Callithrix jacchus: one gene and its partner. The main gene of each other region encodes a partner of the protein of the gene in region 2 in a complex. Links are inferred from orthologs where the notes say so. Each region holds a gene or a part of one and is shown on either strand. Other genes may lie near its edges. The genes, in order: BSG and XKR8.

Region 1 (11,689 bases), on a different chromosome or scaffold from region 2:
CACCTCCGGAAGGTGCCTTTGCTGGCAGCTGATGGGCCCCACCCAGTGATCTCCTGTCCAGAGACACAGGAGGCTGGGTCCCAGGTGTCGGGACAGACAAGGCACCCACCCCGTCCCTGAGCAGGGACCAGGGCACAGAGCTCTTGAGCAGCCCCAGCACAAACTGGAAATTTCTGTCTGAAAAAAACAGCCAAATCGCCCCCCGGCCAAGGCTGCCTCCCTGGCCAAGGCTGCCTCCTTCGACGGCCCCTCAGATGCCCGCTGGTGGAGACCTGCCCCTGGATGGGGCTCCCAGGTGACCCCATCCACCCGATTCCAGGCTGACGGCACTGCAGCACTGGGAGCACCCGGTTCTCCTGCCAATCCCCATCGAGCAAATCTCTTGGTTAATTTACAATGTTCCGGTTAGGACTGAATGTGAAAATCCCTTAGGACGAGACGCTGAGCAGGACACAGAAGGTTCTGAGGGCAGCAAGCCTGGACTGAGGCTGGAGGGCCCCTCAGGCTGGCAGTGTGGACAGACACTCAGGAAAGGAGCCAGGCAGGCGCCCGGGGGAGCAGAGAGGGACGGCGGCACAGACAGTGCAGGGTCGAGGGAGGACAAGGACCCACCTGCTGGAAGGCAGAGCTCTGCCCGCCCCAAGCCAGGTCGCCCAGCGCTGGCGGTCAAGGGCGAGTCCACCCCTTCAGGTCTGGGCCCCCCTGTCCCAGTGGTGGGCCCAGCAGGGCAGAGAGGGGCAGGAGGCGTCTGGGTTCTATCAGCAGGAGCGGCACAGGAGGGAACCAGGGAGGCGGGGAGGGAGGCGCCCGCCACTCACGTTGCAGGACTAGCACCACCGCCTGGGCGCGGACCCACTTGACCCTGGGCGCCCGGGTCAGGTGGTTGCGGTCCGGGTCGTTGCTGGCCCGGCACTCGTAGGTGCCCGAGTCCTCCTCTGCGAGCGTGTCGATGGAGATGGTGCTGGCTGCGTGCTGGCGGTAGGTGGCGTGGATGTGGACGCGGTTCAGCCGGGCGCCGTCCCAGAGCTGGGAGCAGGTGTCGTTGGGACCGTGCCCCTCAAACCACCACTGGATCTCCGGCACTGGGCTGCCCACAGCCTCACAGTGCAGCTCCACACGGCCCCCCACCCGCCTCTGCTGGGACAGTGGCGCCCGCACAAAGCCAGCTGCAGGGAGAGCGGGCGCGGAGCCTCGTTAGTGCCGCCCTGGGGAAGGCCTCGCCCACAGGACTCCTGGCCAGGGCTGGGGGGAAGCTGCTTCCTTTCGGCTTGTGGGAGAGTGACGGGGCTGGGCTGCCAAAGGGCAGCGCATGAGAAAGACCGTGGGAGCCACCGTGGACGCCCCCCTGACTCCCACCCTCCCAGCAGACACACTGGCTTCTGATGGCATAAATGAGGAACCACACGTAGCTTAAAACACAAAACCCATGAAACTGGGCAGAACAGCCAGGAATTTAAGCCCCAAGGGCCTCTCTGTCAGAGGACTGTGGGCATGGCTGCCCCAACTTCCAGACTGCCGGTCCCCAGGGCAGCATCCTCTGCCTTCTGCCCGATACCCTGACCCGAGAGATCCGGTGAGCTGCAGAGAAAATAAAATCCCAAAGCCCACAGGGGCAGGGGGCTCTGTCCAGGAGGCCCCACTCAGGCTGTTAGGACGGCCTGCGGGTGGAAAGTGCTTGTGTCCTCAGCAATCTCAGGGCAGCCACCCAGAGAAGAGGATTTGGGAAGACGGAGCCGGCAGTGCCTCAGGGACCGTTACCACTGGCCCACCACCACTCCTCCCTTCAAAACAGAAGGGAAGGCCCCGGAGCTGAAAGGAGCACAGGAGAATCCACACGCACCCTCCCACTGTGCCTGGCACCCGCCTGCCAGGAACTGCCCTGCCCTGGGGAAGCACGGGGAGCAGGCGCGGGGACTGTGCAGCCCTTCCCTAGAACATCCAGGGTAAACATGCCTCGCCCACCTGCGCCACCTCCTGCCAGGACCGTGCAGCCCGTCTTAGAACACTCAGAGGAAGTGGGGAATGGGCGCACCCCACCCACCTGCAACTCCTGCCAGGACTGTGCAGCCCCTCCTAGAATGCCCTCTGAGGTCAGGCTCCCAGACACCGCTATAACATATGCATTCAAGGACACACGTCCGCAGACACACACCACACAGGCACACACACATGCTCACAGCTCTGAGACTGCATAGCAGTGCACATGTCATGGGCCCCAAGGCCCCAGGGACAGGGGATGTTCACAGCTGACCCCCTGAGGTGAACTCCAGGCAGGAGCAATTAACAACGTTTGGCAGTGCCACTTTCACAAAGGGTCCCCTCCTGGTAACCTACATTTCCCAGACTGCAAAACAGCAGCGACGTGCAGAGCCTGGCGAGGCGAGTCAGGGCAGGAAGTGCAGCCAGAGGCAGCCCGGCTGGCAAGCTCCTTCCGGCCCCACAGTGGCCCCCTCCTTCTCCTCCTCCTCCTCCTCCTAAGGCCCTGCGAAGCTGCCCTCCACATCCTCCTCACTGTCCTCACCCGGGGTGCTAAGGCAGGGCTGGCTCCTGAGTCAACACACCCCACCTTCAGGCAGGGCAGGGCCAGGGCACGGGGCAGAGCAGAGGAGCTGGAGGCCTGCAGCCAACCTGCCCCCACCCACCTTCCCCCCAGGCCCTGAAGAGGCCCCTGTGATCCAGCCTCCAGCCTCGGGAATACCCAGGCGTCCTGTGGGAAACCGAGCCAGCCTGTGCCTCGAAGTCCAAGGCTCTGAGGGGCCGTCTGCACCGGTGACCGTGCTGCAACTGGGTCCTCCACCTTCTCAGCGGGTGGACGGCATCACTCCCAAAGGGACCAAAAGGCTCTGGACAGAACAACCGCCCGTGGGCCCTCCGTTTGCTGATGGCGCTGGTGTCTGTTCTGAAGTGCCACTAGTGTGGGCCACAGGAGGAGAAAGCCTCCATAGAGGCTCCTGGGTACGCTGGAGAGCCCCCCACCCCACCGGGCAACCCGCCCTCCATGCCAGGAGCCTCCACTCAGGAGCACTAGGAGGAGGGGCAGTGCCTGACTCTCAGCCACAGGCCCCAGAAAGGTGAGCATTCGATTCTGGCCACATGACCCATAACCCATGTTCTCAAGTAAAGTCACCTTCATCTAAAAACAGCCACCGCCTCCTTGCCCACTCGGCAGCCAGGCTGGGGCTCAGGGCCAGGCAGGCCTCGTGGTACACAAGCAGCCCCACAGGATAAGGCCGGCCGCCCGCCCCCATCCGCCCTCCTCCCCACCCACTGCAGCACTCTGACAGAAGCCAGAGAAAACAGCTCTGGGAGGCGTCTGCGGGCACCTCCCTCCCCACCCCACCTGCTGCAGCCAGGCACTCCCACTCCTCCCATAGGAGGCTCAGGGGTGAAGCCCTCTGCCCTTGGGACCCAGCCGGCACACTGGGGCCCTCCAGTCTGACAAGCCCACAGGAGCTATAGATGGCCAACCTCAGGCACTTGCCCCACCCAAGCCCCCAGAGGCCCCTGAAGCAAGGTTCAGGAGACGCAAACAGGGTCACGAATACACAGAGCAAACATCAGTGTCCACCCCACGCAGGACACAAGGCTGTGTAGCCCAGACCTTCGGGTCTTCAGGAGTCAGTCCCCAGCAAAGGTGGCGTTTGTTAAAAGCACAGAGACGCTCCGAGGACGGGGACCCACGTCCCATCCCCCACACGTGTGCTCAAGCAAACACACACACCCAAACACACGAGAACACACTTGCACACACGCACACCTGCACAGCAGCGCTCCCGGCATCACAGACTCCACCTGCTTCCCAGGCTGCAGCTCTGGCCAGTAAGCCCCATGCTAAGCTTTCTGCTGAGGACAAGCGATTCTCAGTCTTGAGCACCAGAGGAACAAAACCGTGAACCACCCTACCCAGCAGGGAGAGACCAAAGGTCTTTCACCCACTTGGCTGTCAAATTAGCTCAACGTAGGAACCTCCTGTTGTGCTTGAAAACCAGTCAAGCCTGGCTGGCTCCCGACACTGAGGCCGTTTGCACAGGGCTGGGGTGGACTTATCTCCAGCCTTCACCTCCCCAGTGGGCTCCTATCTGTCTCCCCAGAGAGCTGGCCAGGGTGCTGAGGCCAGGCCCTTACCCAGGAGGCATTCGATAAACGGCCACTTTGGTGAGGATGAAATCTCAGAAGTGGGTCAGGAGTTCGCTGGCAAAGCCTCTACAACAGGGAGCCCCTCCCCAGCCCCTGCCCAAGGCCCCTACAGCTCAATGCCCAGGACAGCGGCTCAGAGCACTGGTTCTTGACCCTTCAGGAGCCCAGATCCTCCGGCTCTGCACCTTGTTCCCAACACTTCGGTCACTATAAATCTTTTTTTTTCTTTTCTTTTCTTGAGAGAGTCTCGCTCTGTCGCCCAGGTTGGAGTGTACTGGCCCAATCTCCACTCACCACAACCTCTGCCTCAAGTGATTCTCCTGCCTCAGCCTCCCGAGTAGCTGGGATTACAGGCGTGCACCACCACACCCAACTAATTTTGTATTTTTAGTAGAGACAAGATTTCTCCATGTTAATCAGGTTGGTCCCAAACTTCTGACCTCAGGTGATCCGCCTGCCTTGGCCTCCCAAAGCGCTGAGATTATAGGCGTGAGTCACCTCGCCCAGCTTAGGTTTTGTAACAGAGACAGGGTTTCACCCTACTGGCCAGGATGGTCTCGATCTCTTGACCTCGTGATCCACCCGCCTAAGCCTTCCAAAGTGCAGGCATTACAGGCGTGAGCCACCGAGCCCAGCCGGTCACTGTAAGTCTTTATAACCCAGAACCAAATGAGGAACTCAGTAAAGGAAGCCAGTCTGCCCCCACAAGCAAGAATGGCTGTCGTGCTTTTCTCCTGGAAAATCACACCTCGATCCGTTTCCCAAGTACACTCTCCAAACCACGTCTGCCCACCCCCAGCACAGGGCCCCCTCCTGCCAACAGCACTGAAAACCGAATGCCCTGTCAGACTCTGCTAGAAACGACTTTCTCACTGTTTCCTGCGCTCCCTGTGACCTTGGAACATGAGCTCCCCACAGGCCTCAGTTTCCTCGCCTGTGACACGAGGAGGGGCATCCAGAGACCACCTCCTCGTGTGTCCTGAAGCCAGGCGCCTCTGGAGGGAGGCTCTGCGTTCCGTTCCAGGCAGGGCCCCTCGAGGGAGCAGCCTGCCAGGGCTTAAGAGTGCGGGAGAGCACCCGGGGGCAGGTGCACACCCGAGGCAGCAGGCCAGGGCCAAATCCCGCGAAGAACGATAATCCCTTCCCGATCCCGAGGGCTGACCCGCTCAGGGCCTCCGCGTGCACTTGGAGGAGAAAAGCCCCTTTTCCAGATGAGGACGCCAAGATGACCGCTCCAGGCAGCACGGGCCCTGCGGGGGTCCCGGAGCGTCCCAGAGTCGGGGGGGCGGGGGTCTCTGACCCTAACGCTCCCAGGCGAGGGGGGGGGTCCAGTCCCCGCAGGACGGGTCGGGCAGGCACCAGCCCAGCCCCTGACCCCTGGCTCCAGGCCAAAGGGGGCGCTCACCGAAGCTCTGTCCGGTGGGACGGGGGTTAGGGCACCTGCAACCCGCTTCGCGACCGCCCTGACCCGGGGTGACGCGAGATCCTCCACCGCCGCCGGGGAGCGGCCGCCGAGAAGCAGGACGCTCTGTCCCCAGACCGAGACCGGCCGGGCCAGGACCCCCCCCAGCTCCCTAACCCCAACCCCAAGCAAGCGGCTTCACGCCCACACGGAGGCCCAGGAGCCGGGCGAGCAGCCCCGGGAGGACCCCCAGCTCCCCTCAAACGCTGGGACTTCACCGCCAGACTCCAAGCTGCCGCGGGAAACCTCCGGGGCCGGCCTTTCGTTCCCCGGGCCGCCCCGCGCCGAGGCCCAGGCTCCCGTGGGCCTCGGGTCCGCACCTCAGCCTCCACCCGCAGCCTCCATTCCCGGCCCCCGCCGGCCCGCACCCCCGCCCCTCGCCAACTCCTCACCAGCCCCGGAGGCTCCGTCGACGCCCAGCAGCGCGAACCCCAGCAGCACGAGCCGCGCGGCCGCCATGATGTCCCGTCCCCGCCAGCACCGTCGCGACCAACTGCCGCCGCCGCCGCCCGCGGCCGCTATAAGAACCCGCGGGGGGGGGGGGGGGGGAGGAGGTGCGGGCCGAGCGCGCGCACGCACGGCGGCGTCGCAGGGGCGGGGCGCGCGCGGGGCATGCCGGTCGCTATACCTGCGCACGCGCGCACGCACACGCGCTAGCTCCCGCAAGCTCCAGCTACGGAAGCCGGCCGGCGGCGCAGGGGACGCGACGTTGCTAAGAAACGGGAGGGGCCTAAGGGACGCGCCTGGAGCATGCGCATTTCTTCCTCCCTGCTTTGAAAGTTTAGAGGGCAGGGCGGTGCGCTCGAGGGGGTTGAAACCTTAAAAGGGTATTACCCAGATTTTATCGAAATGAACCCCCAGCTGGCCGCTGTGGCTCACGTCTGTAATCCCAGAGCCCTGGGAAGCCAATGCAGGCGGAGCAGGAGGTCAAGAGATCGAGACCATCCTCACCAACGTGGTGAAACCCCGTCTCTATTTTTTTTTTTTTAATTAAAAAAAAAAAAAAAAAAAATTTGAATCTGAATCTTAGAAAAATGAATAATTTGTTTGTATAAACGTCTCTCCACCATCTGGGCATAGTTATATAAATAAAGTGGTTGCTTTTGGGAGGCAGAGGCGGGCGGATCACCTGAGGTCAGGAGTTCGAGACCGGCCTAGCCAACATGGAGAAACCCTGTCTCTACTAAAAATACAAAAAGTAGCGGGGTCTGATGGTGGATGCCTGTAATCCCAGGAGGCGGCGGTTACAGTGAGCCCAGACTGTGTCACTGCACTCCAGCCTGGGCGACAGAGCGAGACCTGTCTCAAAAAACAAACAGCTGGGTGCGGTGACGCATGCCTGTAGACCCAGCTACTCGGGAGGCTGAGGCTGGAGGATGGCTTGAGCCCAGGAGTTCTGGGCGGTAGTGTGCTATGACGATTGGGTGTCCGTGCTAAGTTCAGCATCAATATGGTGACCTCCCGGGAGCAAGGAACCACCAGGTTGCCTAAGGAGGGGTGAACCGGCCCAGGCTGAAGCAGAGCAGGTCAAAACTCCCGTGCTGATCAGTAGTGGGATCGTGCCTGTGAATAGCCACTGCACTCCAGCCTGGGCAACATAGAGACTCCGTCTCAAAAAACTAAATAAATAAATTAAGGGAAAAAAGGCCACAGAGTGTGTAATCACGTTTCTATGAAAAGTCCAGGACAGGCTGGGCGCGGTGGCTCACGCCTGTAATCCCAGCACTTTGGGAGGCCGAGGCGGGTGGATCACGAGGTCAAGAGATCGAGACCATCCCGGTCAACAAGGTGAAACCCCGTCTCTACTAAAAATACAAAAAATTAGCCGGGCGTGGTGGCGCGTGCCTGTAATCCCAGCTACTCGGGAGGCTGAGGCAGGAGAATTGCCTGAACCCAGGAGGCGGAGGTTGCAGTGAGCCGAGATCGTGCCATTGCACTCCAGCCTGGGCAACAAGAGCGAAACTCCGTCTCAAAAAAAAAAAACCAAAAAAATAAAATAAAATTAATAAATAAAACTATGGTATGTGGGTAACTGAGGGACCAGCATAGGGTGGGCAGGGGTGGAGAAACTCCATCCAGGGAGGTGGCTGGACCCAGCCAGGGCAGGAAGATGCTGGACAGAGTGGGGGAGGGGGGGGAAACAGAGGCCCAGGACTTGTGATAAAGGGGGCTGGGGCTAAGGGCTTCACTCTGGGAGACCCCCTCCTAGGGGTGACTAACAATTGGGAGACTCAGAACTGCCCAGCACCAAAGAGCTCCCGCCTGGCAGCAGGCTTGGAAGGTCCTCCCTGGGGGTCTGAAGCTACGTGCGGAATGAGGACAGACTGCGGACGAGGCCCAGCAGGGCCAGCTGGCTTCAAAGCCCCTCCAGGGCTGTAAACAGGCACGGGGCCTGGCCCAACGCCTGCCCCCTCCTGAGCCCTCCCTGGCAAGGCGCCAGTCTGGCCCCAGGTCAGGTCTGGAAACTTGGTCATTGTTTACAAAATAAAGCCTGTGACTGATTTGAGACTTGAAGACCCCATTTTCTGGTCCTTTCCCTGGAAAGCCATTTCTGACCCACAGGCAGAGCCAGAAACTCCCCCTGCCCCCCACCCCCCCAAAGATTCTCCTGCCTCAGCCTCCGGAGTAGCTGGGATTACAGGAACCTGCCACCAGGCCCCGCTAATTTTTGTATTTTTAGTAGAAATGGGGTTTCGCCATCTTGGCCAGGCTGGTCTCGAACTCCTGACCTCAAGCGATCCACCCGCCTCGGCCTCTCAAAGTGCTGGGATTACTGGCGTGAGCCACCGCGCCCGGTCCCAGTTAATTTAAATCTCAGATTTTGAAAAGGCAGTGGGTTTTTTTTTTTTTTTTTTTGGTTGTTATGCATTAGTGTAAGTATATCCCAGATGCTGCATGGGATATACTTATACTAAACGTTATCTGTTGCATATTGGAAACTCAAGTGTAACTGGGCGGCCTGGATTTCGGCCGCCTCCCCCACCTGGCGGCGAGCCCCCCCCCCGCCACTCCCCTTGTCTCCTCTGCCCCTGCTGGCCCTCCGGGTGCCCTGAATTGGCGGCGGGTAGGTGAAGGCCCAGGATGCTCACTGGTCCTCCCGCCTCTGCCCTGAGGCTTGGAGCTTCTCTGGGAGGGAGATTTCGGATCTGGACCTCTTTCTCAAGCAGAAGTGTGACGAGGGCCACTCTTTTCTCCATCCGGCCTCACTCTTCAGCTCTGCCCTGAAGGGAGATGCCTGCCCTGGTTACAGCCGGCCGGACACAGTGGCTCGCCGGTAATCCCGGCTCTTTGGGAGGCTGAGGCAGGTGGATCACCTGAGACCAGCCTGGCCAAGGTGGCAAAACCCCATCTGCACTAAAAATACAAAACGTAGCCGGGCACGGTGGCACGTGCCCGTAGTCCCAGCTACTCGGGAGGCTGAGGCAGGAGAATCTCTTGAACCCGGGAGGTGGAGGTTGCAGTGAGCTGAGATCGTGCCACTGCACTCCAGCCTGGCTAGAGAGTGAGATTTCGGCGGGGAGGGGAGCCCAAAGCTCCTCCTGCTTTGTTCCAGCAGTCAGACTCCTCCCGGCCTCCCTCAGGCCCGGCCCCACCACCTCTGTGGGCCCTCCGTCCGCAGTCTTTTTCCGTTATTTGTTTCAGAGGGAGTCTTCCCCGGTCACCCAGGCTGGAGTGCAGGGGCGCGATCTCAGCTCACTACAACCTCCGCCTCCCGGGTTCAAGCCGTTCTCCCGCCTCGGCCTCCCGAGTAGCTGGGATTACAGGCACGCGCCACCGCGCCCGGCTAATTTTTGTCTTTTTAGTGGAGACGGAGTCTCGCCATGTTGGCCAGGCTGGTCTCAAACTCCTGACTTCAAGTGATCCACCTGCCTCGACCTCCCAAAGTGCTGATATGACAGGCGCAGGCCACCTCGCCCAACCCTTAATTAAATGTTTTTTTTTTTTTTTTTGCTTTGAGACTCTTGCGCTGTCTGCCAGGCTGGAGTGCAGTGGCACAATCATGGCTCCCTGCAGCCTCGACCTCCTGGGCTCAAGCCAGCCTCCCACCTCATCCGCAGGGTAGCTGGGACCGTGGCCGGGAGCCACCACGCTGGGCTACTTTTTATGTTGTTTTTGGTAGAGCTAGAGCCTCGAATTGCACAGGCCAATCTCAAACTCCAGGGCGACAAGGGTCGGCCTCAGCCTCCCGAGGTGCCCAGCCCCATCCTGAATTTTTCCCTTGCATTTTTCTGAGGGGCTTGGCTTTGAATTCCAGCCACTTTCCAGGCGGTTGAGACACTCCCCAGTGATTGGTGGGAGGAGTGCGGGTTTCGCCCTAAGGGCACTGTATGGGTCCCCACGTGACTGACTGGTGTCCAGGAGGAGGCAGCGGCCAAGGTCAGGAACCCAGACCGGGAGGGCCGAGGCCGGGGAGAGGTCAGTCCATGCAGAGATGGGTGTGGCGGGCAGGACGGCGACCCCCAAACGGTGTGACGCCGAGAACCTGCGAATGTGGCCCTGTTTAGAAAAAGGGGCCTTTACGAGGCCGGGCGTGGTGACTCACACCTGCAATCTGGGCCCTTTGGGAGGTCGAGGTGGGTGGATTACTTGAGGTCAGGAGTTCAAGACCAGCCTGAACAACATGGCAAATGAACTCCATCTCTACTAAAAATAAAAAATTAGCTGGGCATCGTGGCGCATACCTGTAATCCCAGCTACTCGGGAGGCTGAGGCAGGAGAATCGCTTGAACCTGGGAGGCGGAGGTGGCGGTGAGCCGGGATGGCGTCATTGCACTCCAGCCTGGGCAACAAGTGTGAAAATCCATCTCAAAAGAAGAAAAAAGAGAAAGGGCCTTTGCAGACGTGGCTGAGTGGGGTCCTGAGAGGGACCATCCGGGTTGCCCAGGTGACATGGGTTCTTGCCAGAGGGGAAAAGAACCCAGGGGAGGCCCCCGGTACGTGCAGGCAGACACTGGAGTGATGGGGGGACTGGAGTTCCCAAAGCTGGGAGGGTCCTCCTTGCAGGAAGGGTCCTCCCGAGACTCCCGAGGGAGCCAAGTCTCACCCAATCTTGACTTCGGATTTCTGGGCCCCAGAACTGAGTGAGAACCAATTCCTGATTCGTTTTGCAGCTGAGGAGACCCCCTCCTGTGGGGAGGAGCTGGGATGATGGATTCCACACCTCCCTGGTGATGGAATGATGGGGGGGGTGCGCCGAGGGTGGACGTGGGGGTTGGGGGGCCCTTCTTGGGGCAGGCCGGGTGGGCTGGAGTCCAGATGACCCCTGGAAGCAGGAGGCCGGGCCATCTGCCCAGCCAGCCAGGCACCGGGCTGGGCTTTACGGCCGGGCGCGCCAGGACAGAGGGAGCCGCCTTGCAGGGTTTGCAGGGGCAGCTGCCCTCTCTCCTCCGTGGCTCCTCCCCAGGCCAGCTGGTATTTTCCCGGAAAAATGAGGATTTCTACACATGGACCTGAGGCCTCCATAATCATTCTCCCCGAAACTTGTGGCCGCAGGCACGTGGCTCCTGTCTCCACGGGAGTCTGAAAACGGAACCTTTCCCCTGAGCCAACAGACAGGCCGTCCGAAAGATGAAAATAAGGCAAAAACACAAATATCAAAAAGAGGTAACTCGGTCTTCCAGGCGTCGCCAGCCGACCTCGCGTGTGTCGTTGCTGTTACCGTGAATGACTTAGAAACCTGCCTCTCCTGGTTTTTGTTTTTTCTTTCTTTTTTTTTTTTTTTTTGAGACGGAGTTTCGCTCTTGTTACCCAGGCTGGAGTGCAATGGCGCGATCTCGGCTCACCGCAACCTCCGCCTCCTGGGTTCAGGCAATTCTCCTGCCTCAGCCTCCCAAGTCACTGAGATTACAAGCACATGCCACCACACCTGGCTAATTATTTTGTACTTTTAGTAGAGACAGGGTTTCACTATGTTGGCCAGGCTGGTTTTGAACTTCTGAAATCATGATCGGCCCACCTCGGCCTCTCAAAGTGCTGGGATTACAGCTGTGAGTCACTGTGCCCGGCAACCCTATCTAAAAAAAAAAAAAAATGAATGGCCAGGCGCGGTGGCTCACGCCTGTCATCCCAGCACTTTGGGAGGCCGAGGCG
Region 2 (11,141 bases):
ATGACACCACTGCACTTCAGCCTGTGTGACGAAAAGACCTTGTCTTCAAAATAATAGCTAGACAGATAATCTCTTATAAAAGCACAAACTACCTCTGAAACCTATTTAAAATTTCTCACATTTATAAAGTGTACAATGTACAAGGTCCTTATACATGTGACTATTTGATCATTATGACAGCCTTATGAGGCAGGAATAGATAGGGTTACCATGTACCTTGGGGAGAGGTGTGTTGAGGAAAGAGTATGGGCAAGTATTTAATATAAGCTCTCAGAAGTTGGATTAACCAGCTATCCCCACTCTTTTCCAGCACAACATGCCTTTCTGGAGGATCACAAACCACGGAGACCTAGTATCCCTTCACCAGGCTTTAGAGCTTGATTTTCTCTAAGAACTGGAATGAGGAGCCTTCCCCTTAAGCTCCTTTTCACTCCTGAAGGGAGCTGGAGACTGGAATCGAGAACTTTTTCTGTCTGTCACACTCTCTGTCTCTCTGTCTGTCTCTGTCTCTCTCTCTCTTTCTGCCTCTCCCTCTCTCTCTCTCTCTCTCTCTCTGCCTCTCTCACTGTCTTTCTCCATGGAATGCTGGCGAGAACACAATCAGAACCAACAGCTGCAATTTTTGCTAAGAGTGAGCTGCAGCCCCGTGTTCACCTCCATACAAAAGCAGGAGACAGTTTGATAGAGAGAACAATGGACTCACTGCAGCTACAGTGCTTTTAATTCTTCTGTGTTTCGTTGTTTTCTTTTTTTCAAAAAATGAAAAAAATTCCTGAGGCAGAGTTGAGAGTTGCACTCTTAGTCCATGAGCAGATTGAGAATTACTCATAACTTGTGGTGATCAGATAAATGCAGTGGACTTTTATGATAACATCTCTTGCAGTCTTAGAATCTCCTTAGCTTAGAATCTCACTTATTTCCAGTGAACATGTATGTTATTTTTATAAGTCAGAGTCTGATCTCGGACACAGCTTCCCCCGCTTTCTTTTTCTAGCGAGAAAGGGGTGTAAAGTCTTGAAAATAGCAATTGAAATATCTAAAATACCTCTCTGCGGCAGTAGTACCTCTTTAGCTGCTCCAGTGGTCTGCTCTCTAGGATGATTCCTTTCCTGTTCTTCATCTCCTAGTTGGCAAACTGTGGGGCACTGGATACTGAGTAACTTTATACTTCGGCATATCCCATCTGGAAGCCTTAGTCTTCTTTCCAGTCCCTTTTCCCTTTAATCAAATGGCACAATCCCAAAAACTCCTTCAGTTTGACTCTCCTTCAGACTGAATCCATGGAGGCTTAGCTTCCAAACTGGCGAGAAGCAACTAAAGCTTCTTAGGAATTTCAGCTTCTTTGGCTCTTGAGACAGAAAGGTTCTACCTATTTCCCATCAGATGCTTACCCCTGCAGCTTATTCCTTCTTAGTCATCATAATGCTAGGTTCTTACCCCTTTCCTGCCCTCTGCACCTCATATCCACCTCCAGGCAGCTCTGGCCAGTCCCCAGGTATTAGACCCAAGAATTGAAATAAAATCTAAAAACATGCAAAACTATCCATGTATTTGACTTCCTTTTTGGAAGCCCTTAAGCTATATGGGTATCCCAGGCGTAAATTTACCCAGATCTCTGCCTGCTACTGAAGAGCAGATTGCTGTATTTAAGTTTTCCCGTGGAACACCCTGCTTCTAAAATCCCATTCTACAGTAGGAAACCAGAAAGACTCTGCTGATTGTGGGGGAGGGTACGTACAGCCAGGGTTTTCCTGTGTTGCCAAGGCTGGTCTCAAACACCTGGCCTCAAGCAATCCTCCCACCTTGGCCTCCCAAAGTGTTGGGATGACAGGCATGAGCCACTGCACCTGGCCAAACTTTCCTGATTTAGATGAGAGTGCTGGGTCATTCCCTACTTCATGCCCCAAACTTAATCCTGGGCCAGATGAAGAGCATCTCTCCACCTCTGGGAAGATTGGTGGGTGCCCAGGCACTAGTCACAGCCTTCTAGCCTAGCCCTCCAAGACCAATCTGGGCATCTGCTCAGGCAGGATAAAATTCCCTAGAGCTGAGGAAGTTCAGCCTCTCCCAGGCTGCACAGAGAGATGATATAAGCCCCTCAGATTGAGATGCAGGATTGGTCCTCAGAAGGAGGCATTGTTGACTAACCCCAGCTATAATTGCTTGTCGCCAGAGACTCTGCACACCCATTTCAAAGATACTGCAGCACAGAGGCAAGACTCCTTCCAATGCCAGGCCACCCAGATAGCAACAGAGAAAGGCTGGTATACACATTCCTTCAGACTCACTGAAAAGTGCTCATGACTCACCATTTTAAGGAGTAAGTTTTTGACGAGTAGCTGAAGTCAGTGCTCCTTTACCTAGCTGCCTCTTTGGCCTTGTTGCCTGTGGGGCTGGGAGGAGGGAGATGTAGTGTGAGGAAGGCCTTCCATTGGTCTGTATTCAGCAGAATTGCCTAGATACTGCTCTGACTTGTTTGATGATTGATCTTGGAAAGCTCTAGGTTTTACTCTGAGGCCTCCAGCCCTCCCGCTAATGCCAGTATAGCTGTTAGGTTTTTGTCCTGGACAGAGGCCACGAGTGTTGGTCCTGTGCTTCAGGTTTGTGAGGCTGTGGAGTGGTACCCCCACCATGCACACAAGCACACACACATATACTTCCCTCTCCATCCTTATGGGAGCTCTTTATTCTTAGAATATAACTTAGACTCACTTTTATCAATGGCCTTTTTCCTCTTGCCCTGACTTCCTAGCTTAGCTCTTTCCAAAAGGAACTTAAACTTGGCCAAGAGAGGTAAGGAGGCTGAACGGAGCAGTCTCTGCTCATTCCTAGTTGTTGCCACCCTTATTTAGACAGAAAACAGAAAACAGGAGCTTCTTGGCTCTTTGCCAAAATGAATTGTCAGGGAACACAGTGCGCGCGCTCGCTCTCTCTCTCTCTCTCTCTCTCTCTCTCTCTCTCTCTCATTACCCTTTTTCTCCTCTGCAACACAAAAATCTGGAAAAGAAAATAAGTGGGTAGGATTAAGAGCTGTTGGAAGGTGACGGCCAAAGGATACTGTGGGTCTAGTTGTCAAGGGGGAGCCCCTCTTCATTAGAAAGGGTTCCTCATGAAATTAGCCAAATGGTGAGTCCTTCCCCAACTGGGCACTATGGGTTCTATAAGATGGGTCTGTAATGTCACAGTAAGGGCTCTCTCTAGTAGATCTGGAGTGAGGTGTGTCTTGGGTTGAAGAGGTGGCTTGACTTTCGAATGTAAAACTGACTGTGCCTTAGCATCACCCTGTCCAGTGCCCCTGGGGCAGCTGGTAGTGTCCAGAAGAATGGACACCTGCTCCAGATTTAGATGCCTGTCTGAGCTTTTGTTTAATTTGAGGTGTTTCTGTCTTCTGTAAAGCTAGTGAGTTGTCCCAAGAGACTGATGCCACAGCTTGTTCGCAGTTTACACAAACTCAGCTTTAAAGCTCCAGATAGAATCTGATTGACAAACTCCAGCTGCAGCATATGGAGCTTCTAGATGTTCACAACCTTGAATGGGTGTCGGTGTCACTGAACCATGGGGGAGAGGAGTATGGGGTAGAGCAATGGTCTGGGCCAAGGAGTGGTGAGCTTAGGGTCTTCCTCTGAAACCTCACTCCTCTTCAAGGAGGCAGTTAGGGTCCCTCTTAAGCAGGCTTCTATTTCTTACCACTTAATTGGTTTCATTTTTCATCCAGAAGTTAGAAATCCCCAGATATTCACACTGTATGATCTGAATTTCAAGATTCTAAAATATCTTAAACCACAAGAGAAAATCTAGTTCTGCCTCGGCCCCAGTCAGCAGGCCATCTGTCCCTTCCTCTCCTCTGAGTCAGACAGCTCCGGAAAGCAAGGCTCCTTGGCTAGTTCCTAATGCACTGACAGGAGCCCTCCCATTAAGGACGACTTCTACTCAAAACAAGACTCTCCCTCTGGACTGCAGGTGCCTGTTAGCAGGAAAAGGCATTGATCGGATTGGATATATTTATGTGACTGCGGGCATTCGTGGCTGTAGAATCCATGACCATAATGTTATATAAACGTAATGGGAACTATCTTATAAACTTGAAAAAAATAAAGTTTTTATTTTCTATAGTTTGCTCCTGTGTCTTTTCTGAATAGGATCAGCCCAGTTGCCCAACTGTGAGGGTCCTAACTATGGCTTCCTAAAGGTTCTAAAGAGTTCATTGGAGAGATGTCACTCTTTGAGTAACTGTCATTTCACCGAAAAAAGCAAAACCATTTCGTATAAATATACACATGGGAAAATATTTTTAAATAATTTGCATGGGAGCATTTATTGTTTCTAAAACACTGCTTTTTAAAGTTTAGAACTGGAACAAGAAAAGATTTCATTCACTGCCAAATGTGCTGAATTTGAATTACTGAGAGAAATGAGTACCTTGCTATGCTGAGCTTAAACAGCAAAAGCAATAAAACTGATAAATTGATATCAGACCTCATTTGATTTGGCCTGATTTCATGTCACATCAACTACTTTTTCTCATTTCATTTGTCTGATTTGGGTCTGGCTGTACCCCACTGGTTTAGAAAACAGTCATGGAGCCTTTCTGCCTTTTAACCCAGTGCAGGAAATTAGAATTGGGTTCTAGCTTCCATGGAAGTACCATACACGTCAGACTATAAGATGTATTTTTCCAAAAATCCCTAGAAAAGACAAGGTTGCCTATTCTAGTAATTAAATGTTTTCCTCATTAGGTGCAGATTTGAACCACACATTAGTTGAAGCAAACCCGTTAGCTGCTATATCTTTACTCAGTTATAAGTAAAAATATTAGAGATACTGATTTCCAAGCACAGAGTAGATAAAACATCTCCATCTCCTCCTGCAATTAATGTCAGGCGTGTGTGTTTATATGTATTCTATTAGAAGAATGGTCCTTTGCTCTAAGATTGGTACCTCCTTTTATGAGATGATGAAAGTAAATGGTAGTTTTTAATGACCTTTTGTTAAAATTAAGTTGCAACCATGTTGGCCATTTTATAGGTTCATGATATTCAGAAGTCTGAAAATGTCTAGACAGGATGGTCTGCGGGATTCCTTCTGCCTCTATCCATTGTTTTTATGTAAAAGTCACCAGCATTGTCCTCACAGATCCTCTCCCTGCCCCCACCCTTCATCTCTGGGTCATCTTTCGCTCCAGGCCAACAGAGTGGCTACAAACACTTCATCCTGTGGAATTCCGTTTGCAACATTCCTTCCTTGACAGTGGTTCATGCCACCAGTGACTCCAGGTTCTGCTTCTCCTGACCCTGAGACACCCATCACTACTAACTGGCTTATTAGCTTTTCAGGAAGGCCTTCCCCAGCCATCCTATACAAAGTTGTAATTCCCACCCGCAAAACACAAATACCTACTCTCTCCCTAGCCCTTTCCCTTTTTCTTTTAGCACTTAACACTATGTAATATACTAAATGTTTTACTTATCCTGGTTTTTGTGTCTCCAGCAGAGTAACAGAACTGAAACTATCCTGAATCCCATCACAGTGGTGACTGGAACATTTTCTTCTCTATCTCAAGTGACTTTTCTGTCCCTTGTTTTTCCAAACCACAGACCTCCTATAGCAGCAAAAGACTCCACCTCCCTAGCACCATCACCCACCCACATCTACATCCCCTAAGCCACCTCATCACGTAACCTCTCAGAGCTCCCAGCAAAATGACCTTTCTTCACCAGGCTCTATGTTCACTTCTTGGCCCTAAATGTTTGTGGCCACTCCTGCTGGTCCCAGCAGCAGAGCTGGTGGTGAAGAGGATGCACTAAGTCAGCCCATATCTGGATTCTGATCCCCAGCTGAGCTGTCAACCCCACGCTGGTTCACCACCTCCTTAAACTTCAAAAACGAGGTTTAGAAGCCCCACCTGAGCCAGCCCTCTCTCTGTTCTGGAGGCCTTGACCGATTTTGAGAAGTAGATTTTATGTCCCTGACCTCCTCCAGTTCAGGCTCTGACCTCCATAGATTTTGTTTGATGATAACAGACTATGTTGGAGGAGTTCATGAGGCTTTAAAAACCAAATAATACTGTTAAACAAAAACAACACATCTGTCACTTGCAGAGACACACAGACACACACAGTCTCTTCCCTCACATAGACTGTGAGGTAGGAGGAACACTGGCTAAAGAATAAAAAATACTCAGTGGCTGTGCAAGGCCCAGAACACAGGCTCACAAGGCTCTTGGTTGAAAAGCAGCCCCTTGAGAGCAGAAGCAAGAGGCCAGGACAGCTTCACTGAGATCTTGGAGGTGGACTGGGATCACCCAGAGTTGGGCATCCCTAGCTTCCGGCATTTGAAATCTAACCCAGGACTGGTTGGTGCAGGTAGGACATGAAGCTAGGGTGGTAGCTGGTCTTGTTCCTGGCACATAAACTGCTCTTAGCAAAGATTTGTTTCATGAATTGAAAGAATGGTGTGGGGAAGGAAGGAAGAATTCTAGAGGACAGCCCCTGGGGGTGCTGTGGCCTTCTAGCCCAGGATAGGGCAGCACCTACATCAATTATTTTAGAGGTAGCCAGGGAGGTAGAAAGTTTTGGGGCACCAGCTATACCAACTGGCAGGGGGAAAAGAAAAGGTAGTCTTCTTTCCTCCCCAAGTGTCTTGTACCTAACTGGGGCTGTTGACCCTGCAGGGCCCAGCCCTTCTCATCTTGTTCTCTGTGAACTCCTTGAAGGCAGGCCTCTGCCCCACTCAGCAGCATCCCCGGTGCCTGGCCCAGGACAGGTATCCCACTCTTGCTGAGTGCATGGAGCCCACAGCAGCATCGTTAGCTTATCGCCTGCCTTCTGCCAGCGGAGTCACTGTCCATCTCTGCCAGCTGCATCTAATCCTGCTTCAAAGGATGCCGTTCACCTCTCCCTTCACTGGTGAAGCAGCCCCATCCTTAGCCTTGGGGAAAAAGTTCTGTGCTAACTGGATCATGCGCCTGTTCTGAGGCAGCTGATATCCCTCTGGGGAAAGTAGACTCCGGGCCCCATCCACTTGGTCAGGCTTAGGCTCCCAGCAGTGGCAGCTAGGGTGCAGCCAACGGTAGTACACAAGTCGCAGAGCCAGGCCCAGAAGGAAGCAGCCACCTCCCACAGACAGCCACAGCTGCAGTGGAATCTCGCTGGGCAGCCAGGAGCTATGAGTCATCCAGGTGGCCACCAGGAGAATACTGTCACTTAGGAGGAAGGCCAAGTGGATGGTGGCCCGGCCTCGGGTGTGGCCCTCAGCCACGTTGAACCAGGAGAAATAGAGGATGGTGGCCACCGTCACCCGGTACAGCCACTCAGAGCTGGCGTCTGGCATGAAGTCTGTGCCCTGAAGCCAGACCCAGAGCAGCAGCACCAGCCACAGGCCCAGGAAGTGCAGGGCCACATAGCTGGGGAAGAGGGCTGAGAACAGGGCCACAGCCAGGACTCGGGGCCACAGCAGCAGCAGGTTCCACAGGAAGTAGATCACGGAGGAGCCCCAACCCAGGAGGGGCTTGGAGGGAAGGCAGGTGCGCAAGGCCCGGTGGTAGTCAAGCAGTGCCCACGAGATGCCCAGGAAGGACGTGCAGATGCCAACCCCTGCAAAAAGTAGGCAGGAACAGTGAGTACTGGGGCCAGCCTGCTTGGCACTCCCCAGGGGTTGCAGGTACCATGGGGGCCCTCCCAGCAACCCTGCTGTGGGTATTAGAATCCCCCAATTGTTGAAGGCAAATCTTCAGCTGGAGATATCCCTCTGGGGAAAGTAGAGTCCCAGCGAGTTCCTATGACCAAAAATAAAGCTACAACTCCTAATATGGAACCAGCCCCTCATCACAGTGCTTTGCTGCTCAGGTGCGATTCAGGTATTTTTCAAAGATGACAGGGTATGACTTGTGGCTCCTCAGCACCCTGCATCCCTGGGCCTTGGCTGCACCCTGAGCATCTTCCAGGGCCCCATAACCCTTTCTTTCTGGGAAGAGCACAAGGCTTTCTTGTGTCTGAAAATCAGCAGTCTCAGTTCCCTCTTTCTTAGTCTCAAAAAAGGAGTGGAAAATCCCATGGGGTGGCAACAGCACTGGCTAAAGCTGCCCTCAGGGCCGGGAGAGACGTCCCTGCTGTGTAGACAGAAGGTCTCCCCACTCCCTTCCCCTCAAGACTAGAGGCCATCGGACCAACCCCTAGTCTTGATTTTCCAAGATCCAGAAGTTTACGACAGGGGTCCTAGGGTACTATCCCACCTCCTGGTCACCCATCCTGGAGCAGAAGCACAAGGACCTCCAGGGAGGGATGGAAGTGGCACCGGAACTGCTTCCTCCCCTATCCCCGTCCACTGCAGTCATTTGGCTGATCTTTACTGGGAGCCTATTATGTGCCCAGAACCCACTCCTTGCCTGGAATCAGATCTGTCCGTTACACTTGCCCAGGTCTCAGTATGGCTGATGTTCTTCCAATTTGCCCAGCATGCCACCTTCCGTGACCTTGACAAGCTTTGCCCAGGATGTTAGGTCACCACAAGCACATGCCCCATTTCCCTGGCCTACATTACTCTGCAAGCCCCAGCTTGAAGAGCCCTAGGTCACCCACCCTGACCCTACACCACTCACTCTGCTGTGTCAGGTATCCCTGTAACATGCCACCCACCTTGTCTGCAGCCTCATCACACAGTAATTATCTATTTCCTTATCTCTGAGCTCCTTGAGGGTAAAAAACAGACTCTGCTCACTTGGGATCCCCCAGCAGCCCAGTACCTGGCACTTAACAGCGGTGAAAGAGATGTTTGCTAAATAAAAAATAGAGAAAATCAGTCTGTCCCCCATACCCACTAGCATACACACAGTGCAGACTATCTGCACTTGGTCCTAGTTCTAAACACCCCCACCCTCAGCAGACAAAAACATGTGCCCAATGAGTGCCGAGCGACCCAGGGCAAGTCACTCACCTTTCTGCACCTCTAAAAATGGAGATCGAGGCCAGGAGCAGTGGCTCACACCTGTAATCCCAGCACTTTGGGAGGCCGAGGCAGGCGGATCACCTGAGGTTGAGAGTTCGACCAACAGAGAGAAACCCCGTCTATACTAAAAATATAAAATTAGCCGGTCATGGTGGCGCATGCCTGTAATCCCAGCTACTGGGGAGGCTGAGGCAGGAAAATCGCTTGAACCCGGGAGGCAGAGGTTGCGGTGAGCCGAGATCACGCCACTGCATTCCAGCCTGGGCAACAAGAGTAAAACTCCGACTCAAAAAAAAAAAATGGACATCAATATAGCACAGACCTACAGGGCTGCTGTGAACGTGAGCAAGGATGACTGTAGACGCTTCCCCTGGGCCTGGCTGATAACTGGCACTCGATTGTGATGGCTGCTATTACTGTTTTTTCAATCAGTATTATAGACTCAGACTAGCAAGATGAAAGGGCCCTTGGAGATCGAGTCTAACCCTCATCTTCCACAGGAAGGCTCTCCAGGACACACAGCGAGTGACAGTAGAGTAGGGACTGCTTCCTTGAGAGGCTGTGGCATTTACGGCAGCTATGGAGGAAGGCAAAGGGGAAGCCCTGGACCCTGAATCGGATATGAGTGGGGGCCCTATTTGCTTGGCTGTCTGGGTCTGTGAAAATGGGCAAGTCAGCTGAGCACGGTGGCTCGTGCCTGTAATCTCAGCACTTTGGGAGGCCAAGGCAGGTGGATCATGAGATCAGGAGTTCAAGACCAGCCTGGCCAAGATGGTGAAACCCCATCTCTACTAAAAATACAAAAATTAGCCGGGTGTAGTGGGTGACACCTGTAATCCTAGCTACTCGGGAGGCTGAGGCAGAGAATTGCTGAGGCAGAGGCGAACCTGGGAGGTGGAGGTTGCAGTGAGCTGAGAGTGCACCACTGCACTCCAGCAGGGACAACAGAGTGAGACTCCATCTCAAAGAAAAGGAAAATGGGCAAATCACTTTCCTTTTATGGGAAAAAACCCTCCCAAAGCTCCTCACTATAAACTTCACCCATACTTAGGGGCCCTGCGAGCCCCTGCCCCCTGCCCCCTGCCCCCTGCCCCCTGCCTCTCCCTTCTCCCGTCACTCAACATGTTGTACCACAGCTACTTGTGTTAGTCTATCATCCTGGCAGGGCAGGGGCTGGGTTCATCTTGTTTGCTGTGTCCCCAGCACAGTAACAGGCACAGAAGAGACGCACAATGAAAACCTGACTAGATGAAGGCTCTCAATATGTTGTTTGTTTGTTTGTTTTTTAATTTTGTTGAGATGAGGGCTCACTATGTTGCCCAGGATGGTCTCGAACTCTGGCCTCCAGCGACCGGTGTGCCTCAGCCTCCCAACATGTTCAATTGTTTCTTAACTAAAAAGTTACCTACTCTGTATCAGGCACCTTACACACTTTATCTCTGTTATCTTCAAAATTGTAAAAATCACAATTAAGATTTGTGGGCCAGACACAGTGGCCGACATGTGTAATCCCATCACCTTGGGAGGCTGAGGCAGGAGGATTACTTCATCTCAGGAGTTCAAGACCAGCCTGGGTAACAAAGTGGGACCTCGTCTCTACAAAAAAGAAATTAAAAATTAGCCAGCATAGTGACACACGCCTGCAGTCCCTGCTATTCGAGTGGCTGAGACAGGAGGATCACTTGAGCTTGAGAGGTCAAGGCTGCAGTGAGCCGTGATGAGGCCACTGTACTCCAGTACTGGCCATGACAGTGAGACTCCGTACCAGGAACTTACGTACCAGGAAATGGGCCTTCTTTGCATCACCTCACTTAATCCTTTCATCAGCCTTATGAGGCAGGACTATTTATATCAATTTTTCAGATGAGAACAAACATACTCAAAGAGGTCAAGGCATTTGACTTGAGGTTTCAAGCCAGATCTGCCTGACTAAAGCCTGTTCTCCTGTTTCTAAGCAGCCTTTATAAAAGAGTAAAAACAGCTCCAACATTTGAGGGAGACCCCTGCCCCAAGCTATGAAAGGTGGACCAGCCACTGGCCTTCACTCACACTGGTAGCACTCAGCCTGGCCGCTCTGCAGTATGATGGCCAGCACCAGCGTGAGCTGTGGTGTTGTTTCCAAGAAGGTCTCGAAGAGCCGCAGCATGCTGATGTCCAGGGAGAGGAAGTCCGTGTAGGCCAAGTCAAACTCAGAGGGC

What was found.
Region 1: the proteins of XKR8 (region 2) and BSG are in contact, whole or in part, in a cryo-EM structure (PDB 7DCE), measured with the Homo sapiens proteins. The link is inferred for Callithrix jacchus from reciprocal best matches to the Homo sapiens genes XKR8 and BSG. Residues at the interface, in NP_060523.2 of Homo sapiens: His232, Leu236, Val239, Leu242, Trp243, Leu246, Gln247, Arg280, Gly283, Arg284, Ile287, Phe291, Ser294, Asp295, Leu298, Ala301, Thr302; in NP_001719.2 of Homo sapiens: Trp326, Pro327, Gly330, Ile331, Glu334, Val335, Leu338, Val339, Ile341, Ile342, Phe343, Tyr345, Glu346, Lys350.

Annotation. Positions count from the first base shown.
Region 1 is NC_133523.1:525,808-537,496, reverse strand, and holds the start of BSG (basigin), read right to left. Parts: upstream 6,098-11,689; 5' UTR 6,059-6,097; coding exon 5,992-6,058; intron 1,167-5,991; coding exon 819-1,166; intron 1-818.
Region 2 is NC_133508.1:64,640,204-64,651,344, reverse strand, and holds the end of XKR8 (XK-related protein 8), read right to left. Parts: coding exon 10,993-11,141; intron 7,593-10,992; coding exon 6,874-7,592; 3' UTR 4,289-6,873; downstream 1-4,288.